3 linked regions of the Lepisosteus oculatus genome follow. The protein of the gene in region 2 purifies or fractionates together with the protein of the main gene of each other region. This does not show direct contact. Links are inferred from orthologs where the notes say so. Each region holds a gene or a part of one and is shown on either strand. Other genes may lie near its edges.

What was found. The genes of interacting proteins can lie anywhere in the genome.
Region 1: the proteins of chromatin complexes subunit BAP18 (region 2) and smarca5 purify together in Homo sapiens (affinity purification with mass spectrometry; 5 studies listed by BioGRID and IntAct, with this or other methods). This does not show direct contact. The link is inferred for Lepisosteus oculatus from reciprocal best matches to the Homo sapiens genes BACC1 and SMARCA5.
Region 3: the proteins of chromatin complexes subunit BAP18 (region 2) and smarca1 purify together in Homo sapiens (affinity purification with mass spectrometry; 4 studies listed by BioGRID and IntAct, with this or other methods). This does not show direct contact. The link is inferred for Lepisosteus oculatus from reciprocal best matches to the Homo sapiens genes BACC1 and SMARCA1.

The regions. Positions count from the first base shown.
Region 1 is NC_090696.1:27,528,496-27,536,752, forward strand, and holds the start of smarca5 (SWI/SNF-related matrix-associated actin-dependent regulator of chromatin subfamily A member 5), read right to left. Parts: upstream 3,338-8,257; 5' UTR 3,061-3,337; coding exon 2,992-3,060; intron 1,563-2,991; coding exon 1,461-1,562; intron 1-1,460. UniProt on the Homo sapiens protein: ATPase that possesses intrinsic ATP-dependent nucleosome-remodeling activity.
Region 2 is NC_090698.1:6,956,685-6,964,769, reverse strand, and holds the start of chromatin complexes subunit BAP18, read right to left. Parts: upstream 3,071-8,085; 5' UTR 2,871-3,070; exon of another isoform or gene 2,565-2,870; 5' UTR 2,440-2,564; coding exon 2,419-2,439; intron 1,024-2,418; coding exon 929-1,023; intron 1-928. Other genes in the region: ribonuclease kappa-B, read left to right, coding at 4,386-4,463, 5,981-6,063, 6,818-6,962. UniProt on the Homo sapiens protein: Component of chromatin complexes such as the MLL1/MLL and NURF complexes.
Region 3 is NC_090703.1:42,609,889-42,617,712, reverse strand, and holds the start of smarca1 (probable global transcription activator SNF2L1), read left to right. Parts: upstream 1-4,487; 5' UTR 4,488-4,594; coding exon 4,595-4,651; intron 4,652-5,661; coding exon 5,662-5,751; intron 5,752-6,244; coding exon 6,245-6,411; intron 6,412-6,695; coding exon 6,696-6,796; intron 6,797-7,027; coding exon 7,028-7,128; intron 7,129-7,824.

The DNA of each region.
Region 1 (8,257 bases), on a different chromosome or scaffold from region 2:
AATTTGATCACACCGTCCACAGATAGACATGGTGTTGACTCCACTGGAACACTCTTTGATAAACAAATCTTGTATTTCATCAACGATGTAGCAGTTATAGGTAGCTACAGTTTCAAAGTTCTTAAAACTCACACCCTCGGTGTTGAGTGATTTCAAATCTGTTTGATCTGATGCTCTGGTAGTCATGGTAGTCAATAACTAGCACGTAAATAGTAACAAAACCCTCAAGCCTCAAACCTTTATTGTAGTTAAGATCTTGTCTTGAAGTCTGCAAGAGCATTATTTGGAGGGCTTTGAGAGAATTTTGAAGTCAAAAGAGGCTATACGAATAAAATAATTAACAAACACTGATTTTTTTTAAATGAAAGGAATGCTATTCTTTATGCTTTTAACTGTGAATTAAACCCAATTTTTTTTAAACTTAAGTCTTTTGATGGATGTCTTAAAACACTTAACAGAATATTGCAGTGACTTTAATAGAAAAAAGGCTTTTACTGATCATGTTGTTACAGCTCTGTTAATATTTACACACTGTCTCTGTGCAGCAAGTATAAAATCTCCCTCAGAAGCTTTAGTATTCAGTAAAATGTGCAAAAACGATGCATCCAGCCTGATAGCTCTGCTTCACCAGAAAACAAGTTCCCCTGATGCTTCGTAAAGTTACACAGGTGTTTATTAAAATACCCTTCTGCAATGAACATAAACATGAAAGCAAAGTTGATTATGTAAGCAAAGAAATTATGCCTACCCCGCTGCTTTTCAACCAGTTCTGTAAACCCAGCCACTTAACATGGCTGGCTCTTAACTGCAATCTGCACCTTTCTTTAGAGCACACCCAGTAGGTAGACTTGATACAGACATTGGTCACTCCTAACCTACCAGGATAGTTAAAAACCACCGCCTTTTCCGAAAGAGGCATTAAATGAAGGGAATAAAACACCAGCATGTGTCAGTATTTATAAACCACAACCTTAACAACAATAAATCCAGCATACACTTATTTTCATTGTTTAGCTGCTGTTAACTCTGCAAACACAAAAAGAAGAAAAGAGTTTTCCTCTTTAGCACCGCTTGCCTGTTGCCATATCAGAACACTGCCACAGTAGCATCTTTTATACTACTATCTAAAAATACTGTACTTTCATCACTGGAATTATGAAAAATTTAAACTTGTCATTCACATGGCCAGGATATACCCAAGTGCCCTCCACTTGACAAAATGTCTAAACGTGCCAGGTATGCACCATCTAAATATCACCTAAAACATTTATATAATGGACTGCATCCAAAAATAACTATTTGACTGGTTAAGTCAGAGGAGCTGGCTAAGACATTACTCTCACAGATCAAACTAAAAAAAATGGCTTTTCAAGTATAAAATCTTGAAAAGATATTCTTGAAGGCAAGACTATGTGGTGTGACAGTGCTAACTAAAAATAAAGGTTGTGGCAAGACATTACCATTTTCTTTTCATAGTCGGGAAACATTTCCTGTTCTTCCTTTGGTTTTAGGATGGGGGTCTCCACTTGACTGCCATCCTCATGATCAGATGCTTCTTCCTCCTTCGGGACAGGCAGATCGAAATACAATGTTAAAAACTTTAAAATGGAGAGCTGACCTGGTACACGGCTACAGAAACTTTACTTCTAGGCTGAAACACATTTACCAATCCTTGTTATTGTAGCTGAAGTGCAACAGCTGAAAATGTGCCTAGATCTGTAACCCGTGCAATACGTCTGCCAGATGTACAAAGCCCTATTCGTGATTATTCCAGAATGTATTAATAATGCCAGTTAACGAATGAGAGCTAAGTTACTGAACAAAAGCGAACTCTCACATTTTACGTTTGGACACTAGGTGTCTAAAACACGGTCAGAGTGGGAACCTGCGTCAGCAGGCGGACAAGAGGTTAAATCCACGCTGAAAAGTGAAAGAGGAAAACTTCAGGCTGACGCCGATTTCTTGACTAGCTTTCAACCCGGTTACCCGCGGCTCTCTCGGCCGCGGAAGAGCACAGACACACAGGAGTGGGCGGTTTGTATTGATGGTGACGTCATGGTTTCGCAGCCCTGAGAGGGAAAAACGGGAAGCTTCAGACCCCCCCAAAAAATGTTTCAGAAGTTGGTCGAAAATACTGAGGTGCTCGTCTCGAACCTTTATTCGCCTGGTATCAAGAAGCAGGGGTGAAAGACCGACTCGGACGGACACAAAACAAGCAGGGGTCCTCGACGCCTTCGTCCGCTCCGCTGCTCATTCATTCCGCGGATTCCCTCCCCGCGATGCCGCTGTGGTGTCGGCGAAGCGGCTGACTGGAACCAACCAGCCTGAGCAGCAACTAGGCCAAAAACTGACGGGCTGGGGAGCTGAAGTCCCCTCACACGCACATCACCGGTCCCTCCGCTCACAAAACATCACACAGGCGCTCCTTTCGGGAGCCACGTAAAGTTGCCGCACGCCTCGTTTTAGGACTTCGTTTCACGACAGAAGAGTCGAGAATCAAAAATAAAAACACACATCAACGCGGACGGGGTTCCTCGAAACTCCCGATTTCCAGGCTCACTCGATATCCGGAAAACTGTTTAGTGCTCAAGTACATCCCCAAGGCAGGCCGAGTACCGAAGCACCTCACAATAATCACAATTGGGTTTTTTTCTACTTCAAACAGGACACCATCACGACCACGCACAGCTGAAGCGTCCCTTTATTTCCTATCAACGCCGGTTTACTAAAAAAGTAAAAAAAAAACACCCAGTTTTTTCAACCGAAACATCAACGAGGTTGAAAATCCAGAAAAGAAACAAGAAAAAGAATGGAACCCACTACCAACCCACAACACAAACAAAAAAAAAACAAAACCAGAAACAAATCGAAAAGTAAAATCAGTCAAAAGTTCTGCATTCGCTATAAAGACGTCAGGCACTTCGGACCTGGCCATGTCAAGATGCTGGCCAGCCCAGTGGCCCCTCTCCGTGCTGCTATTGTTCCGCTCACCTCCTCTCCCTCCGGCTCAGCCTCCATCCGCGGCTCCTGCTCCACGTTGTTGTTCTCCGTCTCGGACATGCTTTGTCTCTCCTTCCGGATCCTCCACTCTTCTCTCTCGAAAGCGCCCAGCCGCGGGAGTCCTCAACTGCCTCGTACTCGGTAATCCGAAGAAGGGGCTCCTGAAACCGATTATGCGTAGAAAAAGATTTCCCTGACGGCAGCTCTTTTCTTTTCTGTCTCCCCAACACACGCACACACACTCCACAGGACAGATGAGCACCACCACGACGCCGCGGATCAGAAACCTTGCCCGGCTTTTCGGAACTGTCCCACCAACCGGGCTGAACTGCTAAGCATCGCGAGATGTCACTGCGGCCGTTCCTCTACGGAGGAAGAAGAAGAGTCTCGCGAGACCTTAAAACAGCCATAAGGGCAAGATTCGAGTACAGAGACAAGAGGCGTTGTATGTCAGTCGCTCATTCATTGTTGTGCTGTATCAATGATTTAATATTTAGTTACTAAAAGGTTTATAACATTCTCAAAGTCCTGCCTTTTTAGGGAATTTTTTTCTATCTGTCTGTTATTATTGTATGTATGTGTTAGACAATGTCTAAAGATGGTTTGCCGTGAAAGGCACCTTGTAAACGAGAAGTTTGGTGTTGAAACAAAACAAAACTTGTTCTGTATCTCTGAGAGTCTTACAATTTCTAAAATCCCGATTTTCACTTAGCTGTAGATTTCTTAACTACTGCTTGCTATAACAAAATAGTTCCAAATGGCTTGTACCCATTTGTATTTCTTGTGTTTTCATTTTCAAGAACGCTACAAGAAATCTAATGCTGGACTGTTTCTGAGAGACCCATTTTAAATCAGTTGCTCTAGCTTCGTTGTGTTGATCATTCAAAAATTTGGACAGAATAACAAAAAACAAGGAATAAATTAAGAATTAGATTGCCCTATTGTAAACTTTTGTGAGGGAAAAATATTATCGGTCAATCTAAATTTGTTATTTAAAGATAAAAAACACTTGTTCAAGCACCTGATCAATTAAGCAACTGATACAAAGAAGGGAACAATAGTTCTTGAGGGCTGAAGGATATTTGACATTTTTTTTTAAATAATCTGTGAACTGTGGGTAACAGTAGCACAGTGGTGCAGGGGTTTACTTTGTAGTGCTGGGGCCCAGAGTTCAATTCCTGGGGTGTTGTGTGGTTTCCTCCCACAGCCCAAAAGCATACTGGAAAGTTAATTGGCTTCTTTGAGATTACCCCTTTTGTGAGTGTGTGCTTCCTGGGTTAGGATCTGACTCCTCCACAAATTAGATATGAGGTTGTTGAAAGTTAACTGTTGACGTGATGTGAAATTGGTGATATAATGGTTGCCTGTAACACCCAGACAGGCAACCATTAGGCAACCAATAGGATTCCTATTGACGTTCATAGGTATATTACTATAGTTTTAAGAACCATAACCCAACAGATTTTCTAAATCTCTTCAAATCATCAACAGCTAAAGACCTAGGTAATATGCTAAATTAATTAAATTAGGATAATATGTAGCTTGATCGTGGAAATAAATCTGAGGTAGATCAAAATCCCACAAGCAATGTGCCCCCCCAAGAGGAAAGTTTTGCCCTACTGATATAAGCAGAGATGTGCCACACTGATTCCAAAAACTTGCACTGAGGTTATCAATCTGCCATCATACAGCACACCCCTAATCATTTCTTCACTTCAGGAGGTGGTGTAAAAAATGTGTCATGGAATAAAAAATCAGAGCTAACCTGATTAAGACATTGTTGTGCAACAGCAGTGAGGCCTGGATGTGATTTTATTTGTAAAAATGAAATTGAAAACACTGGTACTTAGCTAAATAACAAAGCTATTTTAATATTTTGTGGTTAGAATCAGCATTGATGAGTGCATTTCAAACCATAATAAAAGTCAAATGTACACTGTAACCTGTAAAATTTCATATTTACATCACAAAATAGATTAAAGTTCCAGGTATGCGCAGCGTGATCTGTATGCAGTACATGATTTACATTAGTCATTACATCGACTAGCGAGCAGAAAGGGCCGCATCACATCACAACCCGTGGAAACTTGATTGCGAGTTTGCAACAACATGGTGATTTAGTGCTTTCACAAAGTTCACAATTTTGGGCTTAATTCGAAATTTATAAAAATGTTTTTTACAACATCAATTAATTTATTTTGTTACTGAGATTTAATAACTGGTCCAAAAAATCAGGATTGCAGTTTGCCTTTAACATGTGGTATATATCTGCAACCCCCTGGCGTTGGACTGTCCCCAAGACCCCTTTCACTCCAGGTTCACACTTTCCCACCATTTCCCCCTGTAAAACCAGGAAGCAATTCGATCTTTTTCTCTTTCCCACCTCTGCGTCCAGAGTATGTCTCTCTTTCTGCCTTCTAGCCTGACCTGCTCCGTGAGTGGCATGCCTCGCTGTGATGAAAAGGGCAATAAAACTGTCAGTGAGTCTGACAGTCATCTCCAGCCTGCGTAATGCCGCTGCTGAAACGAGAGCTTGTGTTGCATTGGTGTAAAGAGTGGGATGCCCTGTCTTGGGTTGTAGGCGAAACCTGGAACACAGCAGAACAACTGCTGCTCAGACAGAGCCAAAGCAAAGCAGCTGGGGGGAGCAATGGACTGGCACAGATAAGGCATTTACAAGATTGCTCCCTTGTGCCTAGTGCAACAGAGGGTGACATCCAGCCCTGCTCCCATTTGCCACAGGGCCCTGCTGCCAGAGCTCCACAGAAGACGATGTCCAGCAGCACCCCAGCACGTCACTGGGACGAGGCCCTCATGCGATCACTGGCTGTGGGACCCTGCTCCCAGAGCACCATAGAGATTATCGCCCAGCAGAACTGTGAATGCTCCCCACCTCACATGAGCTGTGGACCCTGCTGCCAGAGCATGTGCCCTCTACAGAGGACAGCAGGGGTGCCGAAGCCACACTCCAAATGGTCAAAGAGTGGGTGCAGACCCACGAGTGGGCCACATAGGAAGAGACAACTGGTGGCCTCCCCATGGACAGTGAGCCGCTAGGTCCTGCTGTCAAGCCTGCATTTTCTAGAAAGGACAGGAAGGGAACCGAAACCAGGCTCCAAACAGTCCAAGAGAGGGTGTAGGCTACCCTGTGTCCTGCTAAACAAGACGACCAGATGTTTTCTCCATCCCTCTGACACCATGGGGAGACAGTCCGTGACGTCTTCCTCGGGCAGGCGAAGGCTGCGGGACAGTGGATCTGAGGACACTGCCTGGGCGGGGCAACAGGTGGGTGGGCCCATGAAAGGTCTTTGAGCAGGGAAAGAGGAGACCGCGCCCCTGTGTCCACACACGCATTGACTGAGTTCCCTCTGTGAAAGAAGACACCTCCAGAGATTGATCGTCCCAGCCCCATCTGATGAAGGGCAAGACCTCCCTGGTCACTGCACTCCAGTAGCCACTGGTGCTCCGGTCGGCCCCAGACCAGATCCCTGTTGCTCCTGCTGCCCAAAAGACAGTCCAATTCCAGGATTTCAAAGTCTGTCTTGGGGAAAGGGACTTGGGGGGCTGCTGTGTCATGGTCGACACTCCCCGGCGCTGCGCTGACTGTGCCCACACCCCCTCCCCTTTTACCCCTGGTCCACCCTTTCCTGCCGTTTTCTTCTAGAAAAACATGGAGCAATCCCTGCTCTCCCCTTTTCACCTCTGTGTCCAGAGGATGTCTGCTCTTCCTCTGCCTTCCCAGCTTTACCTGCTCCGTGACCCGCCGCAATGAAAAGGACAATAACACTGTCAGTGAGGCTGCAAGTTGTCTCCAGCCGAAACTGCCGAAATGGGAGCGTCTGTTGCAATAGGCGAGAGGAAACAACTCTTTTAGCCTGTAATTAACAGTTTGCCAGTCAGAAATGATTAACTTGCTGTGTTAGAAGGCTACAGTTCATGCACAGTAAAAGATTTGTGAGGGAAAGAAGTGAGGGAAACAATGTGTATCTAAATCCCACGAGGAGCCGCTTAGTACTATTCACAAAATCTGAAAACGCTGAACTTGGGTTTGGAGTGGAAATGAAATGGTACTTGAAAACTTGGATTTATATAGCACTGCAACAGCATCTGCTGAAGAGGAGGCAGCTGCCAATCATTCCACTCCCAGATAATTGACTGTTGATCTTCTCTCTATCTAAGTGTCTGCCGTCTCTGTAGCAGGGTGTGAGGTACCCAGTGAGCAGGCAAGCACTGCACACCTGGGAGCTCTGGTGAAAGGCTTCAGAGAGCACAGGACTTTCCGAACAGGCCGGAGAACAAACCTGCGGTCCGAGAGCTGCAAGCACCACCAGATCAGGGGCTGTAATATTGAGAAGACCACGAGCCTGGAAGACCACTTAGAAAACCACTGGTGACATATCTTAGTGGCTGAAGATACTTTGATTGACACTGCGAACTGTGCCTCAGAACCTCCAAAGTGTTTCCAGCTTACAGAATGAAGGGCACAACGACATTTAAATTTCAAACCCTGTCGGCTCCAGACCTCTGCTGTGCTCAGGCTGCAACAAGCAGCTCTCATCCTAAAGGATCCCACAGCACACTGCATGAAGGAGGGGACCCACTTCGCCCACCACCACTCAGGAACAGAGCCCTGGTAGCCTCTGTGGGCCAGAAGCACCACTACACAGCACATCAGTCAGAACTGTGCAATTCATTTACCATTTGAGCTGAGGGGATTCTGCAGGAAAGCCAGATTGTATAAGACAGTGGAAATTTTAGCCAGGACCCCAGAGTTAAAATCCCTTCTCTTTAAAACAGTTTAAAATTACATCAGAAGATCCAGTGCCACTTTCTACAACCCGGTGTCCCTGGTCATCACATTGAATCACTAATTACAAATTGCCCAGAGGGAAGAGTGCCACCTACTGACCATCTGCTAAACGGACCAGGCCCAGCCCTGCTGGTTTTGATCAGGTTACAGGGTGCTACTGTATCTCAGCCGCACGTCTGAACAGAGAAACCAAGCAGGACCAAAATTTCATTTCAGCAATTTCTGGGTGCAGATAATGTAAAGGGTTTGTGGAAAAACTTTGTGAAAATCTATAGACTTTTTATGGGACTTAAAGGAGTTGCTCGTGAATACTGCTAGGCAAAAGCTGTATAATTATGAAAACGTGACACTGTCACTTTGGGTGACTAATGAACAGTTATTAGACTGTGTGTGATCCTCAGTAGCTCCAAAAGACATGCTCTGAAACTCTCAGAGCCCCAAGAGCAG
Region 2 (8,085 bases):
TTGTTTGTTTGTTTGTTTGTTTTGAAACAAAACAGAATCCCTTGCAGGCTTTCGTTTTCTGCACAGATGCCTTACTATGGGGCAGCCCCTCTCGCTGGGTTTTCCGACGAGCTCTAATGAAGACAGTGGAATGAGGGGGGGCCTTCACGCACCTCGGCTCGGCTCGGCACACCCCACACCCACCGATTATGCTGGGCTGAAGATCTATTGCCCTTCCAAGACATACCAGCAGCTGAGCAGAAAGCTCACAGCCCAGCACGCACAGACCCATCCATTAGAGGTTAAAAGGGATTTGCATGGGGGGGAGGGCACATGTGAGCCCCGCAGGGGGAAATAACTGGCACAACACATGGCTTAAAGCCACCACAGCGAGCAGGAAGAGCTCACCGTCGGCGATGAAGGAAGGGGGGGAGCCTTCAAAACAGCTGGACACGGCAGAATGATTCCGTCAGACTCAAGAGAAAACCACTTATGAGGAGAGTTCAGTGTGTGGCAGCTCGTCACTTAACGGTCTTAAAGTGGACTGGGGATGCACAGAAAGCAGCCTGCAACTACACACGCATTCCAGAGATGGACACCCTCAGCTCCCAAGGGCGGCTGGTTTTCATTACACCTTTGGTCATAACTTAAGCGAGCTAAATGGATAATTAGTCAGCTGAGCTGTTTTCTTAAGTCCTAACCACATGCTAAGTGAATACTACCTATAAACTCCGCAGGACTCCAAGCTCTGGTGAACTGGAGCGGCCCACACTGCCTTATATGGTCAATCTGAAGGAGAGCTGGGGAATGAAGCAGATCATTTACCCACACGAGCCGAGCTCTGGAGCGGACACTGGAAGACAGGGTGGCGGCAGCAGCATCCTCGGTACAGGATGGGGAGGCCGAGGCCGGAGTCAGCCCTGTGTACAATGGCGTCATGGCGACTCACCCAGCCGGACTGGAGTCAGCCACCGGGTGCAGCTGCATAGTCAACTCCCCCAGTTTGGTGAAGGCAGCACCTGCTGCGGAGAAGATCTCCCCCACCTGCAAAAGACGGACCATCAGGCACACAGAAAGGCAGTGCAAATTCTTCCACGGGCAGGTGCCCCAAACCGGACTGACCCGTGAAGCCAACAGCTCCCTCTGAACTTTGACACCTTCAGGTTCATTAGGAAGCACCGGTCTGTGCAAGCCACCCAAAACTGATGGGAACGTCCAGCTTATTACAGAGTTAGACGAGCCTTATTACAGAGTTAGACAATTGGTTTCCAACCCTTTCCACACAATTGTTAAAAAAAAGAGGAAAAAAATATTTCAAGCTACTACATCATTGGAATGACAAGAGAAGCAGAGCCGAGGGCTGTCCAACTGGACGAGGCATGTCCAGTTATCAGAGAAAGCCACCCTAGGAGTTAACAGCATCACCAGCAACAACCTCGAGAGATCTTTACAGCCCGTTCAGCCTTCATATACAGTGAAACACGAAAAATGCATTCAGCTAGTGAACCAGGCAGCCGTTGTTTCCCGCGTGATTTTTCAACTTGGAGTCTGGAGTTAACTGCTTTGGGAAAACGAACCTATGTTGTACAAAAAAAAAATAGAATATTTAAAATATATATCTTCAGGGGTACTAGAGCACCTTGGGTTCGGCTGTCAAAACCGCACTGGGCTCATCTTGAAGCTATAAAGAACCGTCCAGCTCATCGCAGCCTCGACACCTCGTCAAGGTACAATAAAGGAAGAAAGGACGAGGAGGGAGAGGGAAGGACGAGGCGCCACGATCCACCAGCGACACCGCGCGGCCGACACCGGGAACTGCGCATCTCTCCTCCGAGCAACAACTGAAGTTCGCCAACTTCTCACCGAACCCCGCGTGTAAATACGCCAGACGTGCATCAGAACCTCAAAGAAGAAACCGGGTGGGGACCTGTTTTCGGGTTTTAAAAGGAGTGCGACATCACCTGAACAGCCATTCAAAGTACAGAACCGAAGTAACCGACAGGGTCATGTGGATAAAAAGTATCGTTTTTCTCCAGCCGCTTACTCCCGACTCGTTTGAAGACGATTACAACAACGCCGTGATACATTACTCTATTTAGCAGCGCGGAGCTGTGGTTATAGGACCCTAGACTCCTGACGGGAAGACAGAGTTTAAATCCAAGGCGCTGGACTTCTCTTCTATCACTGTACAAGCTACGTAACCCGTATTTCATCAGTAAAATGCCAACTGAATTAGAATAAGGCTCGGCATAAGTTAAAAAAATATTTACCAATGCCTCGAGATTCACCCTAAAGAGATTCTGATAACACATCACAATTTTTCGTTTTCGGCTAAATAAACTGTGCTTTTGAGACGTTCCGTTAAAGAAAACGCGCTTTGAAAAGAATACCCCTGAAGGAAACGGGCAATAGAAGGTGGTATGTTCTCAGAGCACCTACCTTGGTCGACGCTGAAGTCATTTTTTCCCACCGAATACTTGGAAAGGACAAATAAAAACACTCCGGGGTCTGCAGAGGGTCTAAATCATCTAACTGCGGTGGCACATGCTGGGAGCCCTCCAATGCAAAACACAATCAAACAGATACTACATTGACTAAGCTTAGAAGCAAAATACACTCTGCCAGTGTAACTTCAGAACGATGTTGCTGTTGCTTTCTTTTCTGAAATTAAAAACGTTGTGCTTTACAAATGCAAGTGCACTGTATTTCCCCCCCCGTACTGCATGTCAAAGCACAAATTAAACACTTTATTTTCTACAACGTGGACGTTACAGGAAAGAACTGGCATGAAAGTCGCATCGCGCTTCAGGTTAAACTATATTCTGTGTCCATTCAGTACAAAACAATACCCAGGCCTCCTTCACTCCTATCATTATGACAGACGTACAGACCTCGGAAACCTGTATAACGCTCCCCCGGGGGTGAAAACAACCATTTTGATCATGCCAACGAAAAAAGCGGACTTCCTAGCCCATCTAGTGAGCCCATTTCTGCCAATTTTGCTCAAATTAAAATAAAAAGACAGCAACTAGAGCGCGAGCAGGAAACCCCAGCCACCCGCGCGGCTTGCGCTTCTATTGGTCCACAACCGCGGTTCTCGGCTGCTGATTGGCCAAGGCTGCGTGACACTCATTCTGCGGAGTCCCGCCCCGCCCTTACTCTATTAGACACAGGCTTCGTCAGTCAAGACGCATTTTAACTGCATTAGAGAGCAGCGGCTTCAGACTGTTATAAGTGGTTGTTAGAATTTCTCCCAGCCTGATCCGTGATTTGTCCATTCTTCGCATATTGATGGTCAATAAGTCAATCACGGTATCCATTTTACCGTTCTGTGTTTTTGGGCGCGATTGTGTGTGCATTTAAATTGTTGTCAATCACCATGTCGTAATGCATTATTCGTGTTGGCACAATCTTAGACTTACTTTACAAATAGTGTAAATAATAAATGTTTTTATAATACTTTTTGAAGTTTCGTAACATTAATAATATTTTATGTTTTGGGAATACTTGTTCTAAACCACTGACGCCCTATTAGCGCTGTGTCTAAAAGTATACGTAAGGTGATGATGGGCAAGCCCCTGTGCTTTGTAGCAGGATTGTATTTACTATCTGTCTTTGTTAAAAAAAAACTATTTTGGGAACATGCACGTTCGTACTTGTTTCAGCCATTTTGCGCCAGTTCTCGGAGTCGGCCTCCTGACGTCACAGCCCCCCCCCCCCAGGCTGGTGACGGATTTTGCCGTCACATGACCGCTCCGGGCTGTGCCATATTCAGAAAAATAGGAGGGGGAAGTAGGATTTCAGTCCTCCAAGGGTAAAATAATCCTATCTATTTTGAAAATAGTTAATATAGCATTAATATGTAGTTTTTAAACCTGTTATGTATTAGCTCCCTTTTCATCAAGGAAACTGTTTGCATAATATGTGTTATAGTGACCCTATGCTTCATAAATTGACACGTCTAATTTGGAGCCTTCTAAGAGGAGGGAAGTATCTTTATGGTCCCGTAAAGAAAGGTATCCACTATAATACCTAACATTTGAGTAAGTTTGGAAAAAGCTGCAGCCTAATAAGTATAATATTTATTTCCTCATCTCTCCATAAAGACTATGTTCCTGAGGGGTTCTCGAAGAATATTTCTTACCTTTATACCCCTCTTTTCAGACAGTGGTAGCTGTCCTGCCGGTGGGAGCCGAGTGTCTCCGGAAACGGCCGAATACCCCGTGCAGATCAGCTGAGAGGAGGTCACAGCGGTCCGTCTGTTTTTATTCAGACGGGCGACTGTCTTTCGACAGAAGGCAGTTTGAAAGTATAGCCGATGAAAAGCGGATTCCGGACTTGAAGGGAGTATAAAAGAGCGCAAAATAAACAAATAAGAAGCGGACATCTGTCTCTTCAATAAGGCAATGGCGTCCCTTTTATTTTGCGGTCCCAAACTGGCCGCCTGCGGAATAGTACTCAGCATCTGGGGAGTCATTATGCTGGTAAAATTACATTTTATTATTATTATTATTATTATTATTCATAGTAGAGAAAATGCTGTTTATACTTCGGTTTCTGTACGCCTGTCTCCTAGCTGCTCTGACAGATGTGATATATAAACGTTTTGTATTCGTTTCGTTTCGTGAATTGCACAGTAATTAACACTTCCCTTTGGGAAATCCAGAAGCCATCGAAGGTCGTGAGCTCCGCGGAGGTTATCCTTACCAATACGTGTTTCAGTATTCAGCATCATTTAGCTACGATTAAGACGCGACAGGGAGCGGTGACGTTCAGTACGCTAGCTAATTGCATGGCACTTGAATCAATCGCAATTGTTCAAGTCATTTCTTTATCCCGTCGTCTGTTACTTCTAGTCCCACCGGTGTTAGGGACAGGGTCACGGGTTCAGTGACACCACGATCTTGTGATAGTGACTGCGAGATGAGCAGCTTCTGAAACATCCATCTGTGTCTGTCTGCCTGTTTCTGTGGGGTTTTTTTTATCGTTTTGCACGTTGTTACATAAAACCTTTGCACAAAGATAAACGGCCGGGTGAATGTGTTACGGAGACCGTGGAGTCCAGTTTCAAGTTCCCTCTTTCTGGCTTGGGAGCTGTGGCACGGTCTCCAGTGGGGAGGAAGAAGTGTTTCAGAAAGGCGTCCCAGAGGACCTAATTATAGTGTGAACACTCACAGGCCTCAGTACTTTCCATCTCTCTCAGAGTACTTAGAAGTATTTCAGTACGTACACAGATGTCTTTAATTGATCAATGCTAATTTGGAAGATAGTGGCTGTTTGCACAGTTATCTGAAGATGATAAGGAGTGTGGAGCTTGAGGGCGGCCGTTTTAGTGCTGCATGTTGTCGGTATTATTGCCCAAAGCAGCTCGCTGAAGTTTTTCATTTTTTTATTCTCCGCTCACAAATTAAACTGATTGACTAGCGCTCCGCACTGACAAGACGATGACCGGCTACACCTTTAACTCAGCCTGGTGACAACCACGTAAAGTGGAGAAGCACCAAGTCAGTGTGTGATGTCTGTATGGCCACATGTCATTTTTCCAAGGATTAATAATAATAATAATAATAATAATAGCTTACACTTATATAGCGGTTTTCTGGACACTCCACTCAAAGCACTTTTCAGGTAATGGGGACTCCCCTCCACCACCACCAGTGTGCAGCCCCACCTGGATGATGCGACGGCAGCCATAGTGCCCCAGTATGCTCACCACACACCAGCTCTCAGTGGGGAGGAGAGCAGAGTAATGAAACCAATTCATGGATTGAACCAGTGTGTAGAATCAAGGACCTGTTTTCTCAGTGTCAGCTGCCTGCAGGAGGATACAGGTAGCTGAGACTTGCAGTGTTAGGAAGTCACTAGGCGGGCAGTGTTGTGTGTTTTGTACACACTGGGCAGCTGTTTGCAGTGTTTTGTATTGTGTACCTGTTCCAGATATAGGCGGATCAAACCAGTGCGTTTAACCTTGCTGTCTTGCTTTCGTCCTCCTCCACACCAGTTGCTGCTGGGTATCTTCTTCAACGTCCACTCTGCAGTGCTGATTGAAGACGTGCCCTTCACTGAAGATGACATGCTTCTAGAGTGAGTGGATTAATATGATGAGCTAGCCCGTCCCAAATACCCTGTTATACAATTGCATCATCTGTTAGACAGTTGAAGGAAGCAGTAGCCTTGTAGCCTGCTCTCATTAAACTGAGCTGTTAAGCACAATACCCAATAATGGGAGACACTACAGAAGGTTTGCTGCTGTAAGTGTAATTGCTGGACCAGTAGGTGGCGCTTTTTTCTGTGGCTCAGTAGGATAACCTAGTGTGGTGGAGATGCTGACCTTTAGATGAGACATTAAATGCGGGATCTGTCCGCTTGGTAATTAAAGAGCCCTTGGCACTGTTGGAAAGAGAAGAGGAGTTAACCTCCTGTGTCCTGGCAAAACATCACTCTGGTTTTGCACGTTTTGAAACAAAGATACAGTCCAGCATTGAGGTGATGGGGTCAGATTGGACTTGTGGTGATGGATTCTTGAAAACGTCCTGGAAAGCAGTGAGATCTACCATCAAGGCATTTGTTTTGAGATGCTTTGAGTTGCATACAGTAAGGTCATAAAGTTGCAGACAAGGAGCTCCTGTCGGTTCACTCTGCTTGCCAGCTTGCTAAGGTAGCTAATCGGTCTGGGGATCTTGTTTAGCCATTTCTGAAAGGACTTAGGAGTTCTGCACCCGTAACACAACTTGGCAGCCTGTTCCCCACACCCACCCCGCTTTGTGTGAAGTGGTCATTCCTGTGATCTCTCCCCGCATCGCTCTTTCTTACCTGCTTTGTCTCTGTTCCCATGCAGTAAAAATCCTCCTCAGAAGATATACGGGCTGTATGACCAGGTCAGCTACAACTGCTTCATCGCTGCTGCCATCTACCTGCTGGTGGGGGGTCTGTCCTTCTGCCAAGTGCAGCTCAACAAGCGCAAGGAGTACATGGTGCACTAGACTGCCTCCTGCTGGCCTGGCCCAGCACTGCACCGAGGGGCGGTTTTACTGCAGGGGCTCGTGGAGGGTCTATTGTCTTCTCTTTTTGTTTTTCCAATGAACCAAATTAGTCTCTTAGACTAATACAGGATTGTTTGTAAGTCTTTGACTCAAAAGTCAAGTAAAGGCAACCTTACAGTCCAGGTCATTACAGTGATTCTGTGTGACCAAAACATTAATTGCTTAATTGGACTTTAATCACATTTTGGACTCCGCTACTGGGCCTTTTGTTTTTCTTTCCCAAATCCAAATCCAAATAGTTGTATTATTAAAAGATCTCTGTGACAACCTCTAGGACTGTATTTATTAACCGATGGATTATTATTCCTGTTTTGTTATTATGGCTTTGTGTGGGATAACACTGTCACAATTCAGCTTGGTCTGTGAGCCCCCCTCTTTTCGTCGGTGATGTGCTGATGTTGGGTGGCAGTAAAGTGCAGTCGTCTTTCTTTTTTTTGGGTGTAAAAGATTTTATAGTCCGTGTTATTTCTGTGGCTGTGCCGACAGTCTTAAAGCAGGGAGATGGGAAGAGCCAGATACTATAGAAACCTCCCTGATTACAAGACTGCTGCATCTGTGCACAGCCAATCCACACATCCACATGAAACCCTGCCTGCGTGTTGTAACATATTCTAGAAAAAAAAGACTGTATTGTTCATTTGAGTTGAGAGCACTGTAAGTCCAGTAGAAATGAGAATGTATATTTCTTGTCATTGTTTATTCATTCCAGGTGTATAAAATTGATGGTTGAGAATACTTGGTGCTGTGCAGTGCTGGACTGGACTGTTTTCTTTGGCTCCTGGTTCTGTTGATGAAATTCTGTTTGTTTGTTCCCCCTATGCTCTGTCTGTTTGCTGTTGGACCCGAGTCCAGCTCAGTCCTGTGTGAGCTGCAAATAAAGCTTCCCATGAAGGTGTAAGTCCTCTGAGTGCATCCTCTGTGAGTGTGGGAGCTTCGTGTTAACAGCAGATCTGTCCATCTAGCTGTATGTCCGGTATATTGATCTGCTTATCCTTGCTACCTGTGCATCTAACTTACTGTCCAATTAGCTATAATAATTTTATGCTCTGTCCTCTGTTTATCT
Region 3 (7,824 bases), on a different chromosome or scaffold from region 2:
TCTTGCTGCCAAAGATGTAGAGAGAATAGTTGATTATGTGAGCAGCTCGTTTAGCCGCTTATAACCAGTGAACATTTTAAGATTAACATAAAAAGATACTTCAATACACACAATAGTGAAAATAACTCCTTTGTGAAGCAATTCCTATTAAAGTTTTAAAAAAAAACCTACGAAAGATTGAATTCTCCTGCACGAACATCCAACAGTGAACCACTGGAATTAATGTATTTGTCTGTGTGTATATCTGATCCTTTTAGCTGAATTCTTGGTTGACCAAGACCAATTTGTATATCTCCAATGCTTTGACTTAATGTTTGGTGTGAGTGTTTACTAAATATATATCTTTGTTGCAAATATGCAGTCTATGTGCTTTGTGCAATACAGTGCTTTAGTAGAGAGGTTTATAACTGATAAGGCTAAATATATTGTTTTCACTTGGGTTCTGTGGAATGTACTGTACTGTAGACTACTGTACTGTAGTCTGGTGGCCTAACATTTGTCAATTTTAATACAACTTAAGTGCTGTACATAAAATGACTTGGATGTTAATTTGCATAACTTGGTCCGTTCTTAAAACCAGATCTCGCATACCTAACATAAACTACAGTTCAGACTACAATAGACTTGAATAACTCAAACAATGCAAAATCCTGTACAGTATATACTGTATAAAATAATCTTATTTATGAATTTATAGAATATATATAACTGTGCTTCCCCCAATGATATCATGTTCTTCCCATATTTATGTAGGGTTCCAGCAGGTGTTCAAGTTTCCTTCTACCTCCAAAGAGATATTGGCTAGGGTTTTTGGGCTATTCTTAAATTTACCCTTCCTCTGTAGGCTTCAATTCAAACCAATCCTCTTCAGTGTAACTTAGTGCTTTGATTCACTGTCCTGCTGAAAAGAGGTGTTTTTTTTTTTACCCTGGCTTGGATTCTTTTTTTTCTTCTAGAATTTACCAGGAGCTTGAACTGTCTTCCCCCCGAAAAACGTCCTAGTCTCTGATCATCTCCACAATCTAATGCTACCATGACCCTGCTGGACAGTTGGGATGGTGCTGACTGGGTGATATGCTGTTTTAGAACTTACAGCAGACGACATACTATGGTAACACTATGCATTTTGACCAAATTCCATCTAAGGTTTTGTTTCATCTGAGCCCAAATTCTTCAACTACATGTCTGTAGTATCATTTACTGTACATGTTTTGTTGACGTTTTTTCAGTAATCACTTTTCTTCATGTATGAACACTGACCTGCATATCAGAAATCTGCACAACTTTCATAGTTACTTTTGACTTCACAATGGTATCCCTAACCAGTTCCCTGCTTGACTGCCTCTTCAGTTTGGAAGAGCTACCTGATCTGAAGACTATGATACACATTCCACTTCTTAATGATGATCAATGACTTTTAAACTTTTTTGTAACCTTCTTCTGATGTGTGCTTCATTACCATTTTATCACTGATGTGTTTTAAAGGTTCCTTGGTCTTCATGGTTGATTTGAAGTATCACTGTATGCGTTGTGGCTTAAAATTCAATTTCTAACTGAAGAGGCTTACACAGACAGATACATTTATTTAATTTAACCAAGCTGAACCACTTTGATTACATAATGCTTGTTAGAGGCCACTTGTTTAATTTTGAGATGTTTCAAAGTAATCAATTACGCCAAAAATGATTTGGGGTTGCCACAGCCCAGGGATTCAACTGAAAATTGTCTAATGTTCTTTGAAAATCTAACATATTTATATATAACATGTATATATATATACATTTTATATATAAAAATGTATTAGCTTTATCAGTATGATGGAAATTTTTAATATAAATTAATATTTGAAAGTGTGATCAATTCCATCTCAGATGGCAACATAATATGGACATTTCATAGGGAAATGAATACTTTTGCCAAGTATTCCATTATATATTGTATATTCATAAAAGTATGTACAGTAATAAGCATGTTCTAAATTCTAAATTAGCATGTTAGCAGTGACTAAAGTATTGTGTTTTTGCTTCTCCTTATCATGGTATTAACTTCAACTTGTTCCTTTCCAGCTTGCATTGAGGCAGTTCCCCACTTCATCTCATTTACACTATCCCTTCTATCTGAACATCTAACTCGGAAAAAAAAATATTAAAAATTGGCCAATTGTTCAATCTAGCCTATTTTGTTGCTGTTAGCCTCACAGCCACCCAATTTGGACCAGCCAGTTGTGTGCTCTTCAAGACTCAGCTACCATACCCACCACCCAAGGGTCCTCCAACAACCCACTGTTGAGCCAATGCTCTTTTAACACTTAACATGTCGAAGACAACACAGCCCATGATAGAGATGTTAGGCTGACAGCACCACATCACTACAAGCTCCTGGGAGGCCACAGGATTTACTTCTTCTATTGTATGTTTACTAATCCTCCTAATTTGGTATAATCTGCGAAAGTTAATAGTTTACTAACTATACCAGAATCTAGTTTATTGATGAAACTTAAAATGATCAGCGGTCCCAATACAGATCTCTGTGGCACTCCACTAAGATCATTATGCTCTTTAGCATTTATACCTTATCTGTACTTTGTTTTCTATCTACTTTATTAACCAGTAATTAATCCAAATCCATCTATCATCTTAAATACCTAATGCCTGCAAATTCAGAACTAATCCTTTATGAAGAACTTTATTAAAAGCTTTCTAAAACCCTAAATGTATATTATGTGCTATGGTTGTATTTGTTACTGCTGTTGCTTGTTAAAAGAATTTAAACAAGTTAAATAGGCAAGACCTATCTTTTGACCCATGGGGATTTTCATGTAGAATCCATTTAAATGATCCTCTAGTTCACTTCTCATACCCTTATACAGTATATAATAAAAGTAAGACTTATTGATATATAACTACTTGGCTTCGTTATTTACACATGATCTCAGACCTTGGCTATGATGACTTCATCATACAGTATGTAATAGATAATCATATTTTTTATGTAACTGTATACAGTATGGCTTGGGTGGTGCAGTAGCGCAGTGGTTAGTATTGTTGCATCACAGCAGTGGGGACCTGGGTTAAATTCTGGACGTGGGATGCTATCTGTGAGAAGATTTTATGTTCACCTCATGGTCATGCAGGCTTTCACTATGTGCTCTGGTTTACTCCCACAGGCAAAAGTCATATACTGGTAAGATTTTTGGCTTCTGGGAGAACTGGCCTTGAAATTAGTGTGTGTCTGTGTGTGCCCTGCGATGAATTGACATCCTGTCCAGGGTGTATCCTGCTTTGTGCCTGTTGGTTGCTGGGAAAGGCTCTGGCTCTCCCACAACCCTATATTGGATAAAGGGGTTAGAAAACTGAGCAGCTGATGTACTGTATATGGCTCATGAAAAATGGTGAGGAAACTAAAGATAGTAAGTAGTAGAAGCCTTAAGGTTTTAGTGTGGTCTGGACAACTACAGTACACTATTTGCTTAAGGTTTTGATTAAAGCAAAGGTGACATAAATGATTCTCACTAAACTTCAGACCTGCATAGATTACAGCAGATTTCAAATTTCTAACTTCAATACATTAGGCTTTTGTGACATCTAGTGGTCTGTTTAACATTTTTCCTGCGCTAAGAAAACTGTGAAATTATTATTCGATAGACGTATGACCTTATCCAGGGCGATTTACAGGAATAAATGCAAGTACTATTTAAATGTCGGTACAATGATCACTGCAAGAACATTACAAAGGTGTCAAATAATCCAATAGTATAATAACAGAGCTAATACAAATCTAAAAGAATCTAACACACATTGAATACAACAAAAACAAAAATTATTAGCATTAAGTGCTAATTCTATGTCAATATTAATAAAATATATTAATGAGACTGGGCGAGAGTATGTTAAAGGACCTGTTATTTTTTCAATAATTCTTAACTGATTAAACGTCGTTGTGTACGAGTTTTTTTTATTATACTCCTGCTTTAAATTCAAAATATCTCGACACTGCAGTGGTACGGATCACTGCTACTTCGTTCTTCCAGTAGGACATATTTATTGAACAAACCGAATATTCTCACATTAATTCGGTAACAGCTTCAGTTTCTCCCTTTCCACTAATATGTATACTACGTTTACTATTTTGGCATTTGACACATCTTGGCATAGCTCTTTAGATATATTGTATTAAGATTTGTTGTATCAAAACAACTACGACTCCAAGAAATAAAATACAAATAACTAGCGCTTAAAAAGTAAAATCACACAGGGCGCAAGCTCATTTGAAAGATCACAAGTACAGTATCAACACCAGTTCTGTGTTTTAAAATAGATGACATTATGTGTGTGCATTTTTTAAAATACTAGGCTAAGCCTTTAGAATCGAAATCCAACTCAACGTCTGGAAATATATTTCCTTTCTGTCCGAATTTTCTAGTCAAAACCGGACTAACTTCTCGCGGTGTTACGTTGCCATAACTCCGCGAGATTTAATTATATGTATAAGGGGGCGGATGCTACGAAATGTACAGTCAGATGGTGACGTATTTTATTATTTTAACTTACAGTAAAAATCAAAATTGAGTCAAGATTAAACAAGTATAGGAGCAATGTCAGACGAAGAGATTCCGTCAACATCCCGGGAGCCTGAACCTGATTCGGAGGAGGTGAGGGAAGGATAATGTGCAGTATTTTTCAGTAAGCTTCTGTGTAAAAGAAGTAGACATTGCAGAACCGAAGTTTGCTGTTTTTTTTTTTTGCTTCGTTTTGCATTTGGGGAATATGGCGGGAAGGAAGCACGCAACATCTGCAGACAGATGTCAGTCTGTATTTTAGAAGATACAAAAACAACCTATTATATTAAAACAAAGCATGACTGACCACCTAACCCCTACAGTTAGTATAGTAGCCCAGGTACCGATCAAAAGAAATACAGGTGGGCGTGAAAATTGAAAACGACACTCACTGCGTCTTGCAGAGAAGCTGGTACCTAATACAGTACCTCAAGAATACAGTAAAATGGCACTGCGAGAGAAAAAGCCTGCTGTCGAATAGGAAACCGAATAGGTGTTGTGTTGTATAATTATTATACCTGTTACATTAACAGACACAGTCCAGTTTTAAGTAATTGTTCTGTACATTATAAATACAGACTTAATAGCAAGTTTCCCCTTTCATAACAGTCAAAATTCACTAATGTAATAATGTACTGAAGAATGCCCCCAATGGTAATTCAGACACACAAAATATGCTGTTTCGGATGTTTTGATTACAGAATGAGACAACTATATTTATTTAATAAACTTAGGAAACATGAAAAAGCCATATACTGTATGCTGTATACAGAGAAAAACTGAGACTTATTTTACTATTCTAAAAAACTCCAATTAATATAATATACATTGATAAAATAATACTATTATTCATAAACATATAGGTCCATATACAGTTTTGGTATAAATAACTTCACCATCTAACCATGCTACTCATACTTAGGGTATTATTACTAAATTAATAGTACATTACTTCATTTATATTGAAAGATGTGCAGTTTATTTTAAATTTTAAAACTTATATCCAATACACAAACAAAGCAACTAAAATAGTCAAAGTGACAAAATGTCATTTACATACAGTAATCATTACATTTATCATTTGATGTACTCTGTGCCTTTAGAAAGAGGATCCACCTTTTCAACTCAAACCTCCCCCCAAACTGGTAACAAAAGTAGAGGCAGACGTTGACCCTGAATATGAGGAAAAGAGGGTAAGTAATTCAATGCACATACTGTATCATGCATTATTATTTTGCTGTCTGATATATTATTAACAATTTTCACCCTTAATTGTGTGACCTGTTCTATAATACCATTCAAAAGAAACATGTATTTCAATTCTAGATTTGATGTTAGCTGTTATAGATCAAAATTGCAATTGCATTGTAATTTATTCAGATTTAGTTTCTAAGATTACAATAATAAATGATGAGACATGGGAACTCTACTGAACATGTACAGAACATATTTCACTTGTGTTGGTGAAATGTTCAAAAGAAAAGATTAATGGTTCCTCTCTCATTGTAAGTTTCAAATTTTGGTTTAATGCACTGCTTTTGTTTTAAACTGGTAATAGTAAACAAGTAAACTTTAACTTACGTGCAAATAAGAAACACATGCAGAAATATACTTCAGGTATATTTCAGATATTACAAACTACACACAGGATTTAAAGTATTTTTTTCTTCTCTCTTTTTCCTTCAGAAAACAGATCGGGCTAACAGATTTGAATTCTTATTGAAGCAGACAGAGCTCTTTGCACATTTTATTCAGCCAGCAGCACAGAAGTCTCCTACATCTCCACTGAAAGTGAAGCTGGGGAGACCTCGCATGAAGAAGGATGAAAAACAAAATCTGCTCTCCGTGGGGGAGTAAGTCATCAATAAGATTGTTATTTGAAATAATTTGTACCACTTAATACAGACATTAGTACCATCTGCATTTATATTTCAGTGCTTACTTGTATCACGATTCCACTGTGTGTATGAGTGCAGTGTACCACTGTGGTCTCCGTCTGTATTATTTAAATGGTAATGAAATACAGTTCTTCCCATTAAACCAATATTTGATGTTGTTTTATTTTTCACTTTAAATTGCCTGGGAATACATATATATTAAATATTAAATGGTTTTTTTTTGTGTGTGTAAATTTCAGTAATCGTCATAGACGCACTGAGCAAGAAGAGGATGAGGAGTTGCTGTCAGAGAGCCGAAAGACATCAAACGTCCTGGTCAGATTTGAAGAATCACCATCTTGTAAGGCACAAAAAAATATTGAATTAAGTAATTTTACTTGAGCTGTCATGATCTTTTATAGCTTGGCCAATACATTCAATTTCATGATGCTTACAGATAAAAAAGCTACCATTTTAATGGCTATATTTAGCAGGCGTATCCAGTAATAGATTTTGTATTAAGACATTTCTAATTGTAATGCTTTGCTAAATGCTCAGATTTTATTGTTATTTCAAATATTTTGTTTTCCAGATGTTAAAAATGGAGCACTGAGGGATTACCAAATTCGAGGCCTGAACTGGATGATATCCCTATATGAAAATGGAATAAATGGAATTCTGGCTGATGAGATGGTATGAACTACAGGAGATAATTGAACTAGAAAAAATGGGCAATTTCTGAATTAATGATGTTATGGCGAAATTGCCATTATAATTAGTTACACTGAAAAGGAATTAATTTTAAATTACTATCATATTTACAAAATGTTTGAATTAAATAGTCTGGAGCTTACGTAACCTAACATAAGATAACCTAACCCATGTAAGTTCCAAAGTAGAATATTAATATAATAGCTAATACTAATATATTAATATAATAGAATATTTTGGAATTCATTGTCATGAGAGATTGCAACATTTTTATTTTACCCCTCTCATATTCCTGTATACAGGATGGTCTTAACATTTGTGAGAGTATGGTACAGAGAACCATCACAAACAGCCAAATTTGCATACCTGTATACTGTAACTTAGTTCACCCCTTTATTGTTGCATAATGCACTACAGTACATAGTATGGTTAAAAGATAAAGGTAACCCTATCTCATACACTATGATAATTAAAATACTACTGAATAGGCCATTAATTAAAATAATATTGATCAACAAAACAAACAACAGTAATCACAAACTTCATCCCACTCTGGTTTTTGTTTGTCAAAGATCCCATTGGCCAAGCCAAATCACAAATAAGTGACATTTTGAATGTTAAATTCCTAGGTGTTGAGAACCTACTGTAGTTTGTGGAGATGAACAGAAATACTTTGTA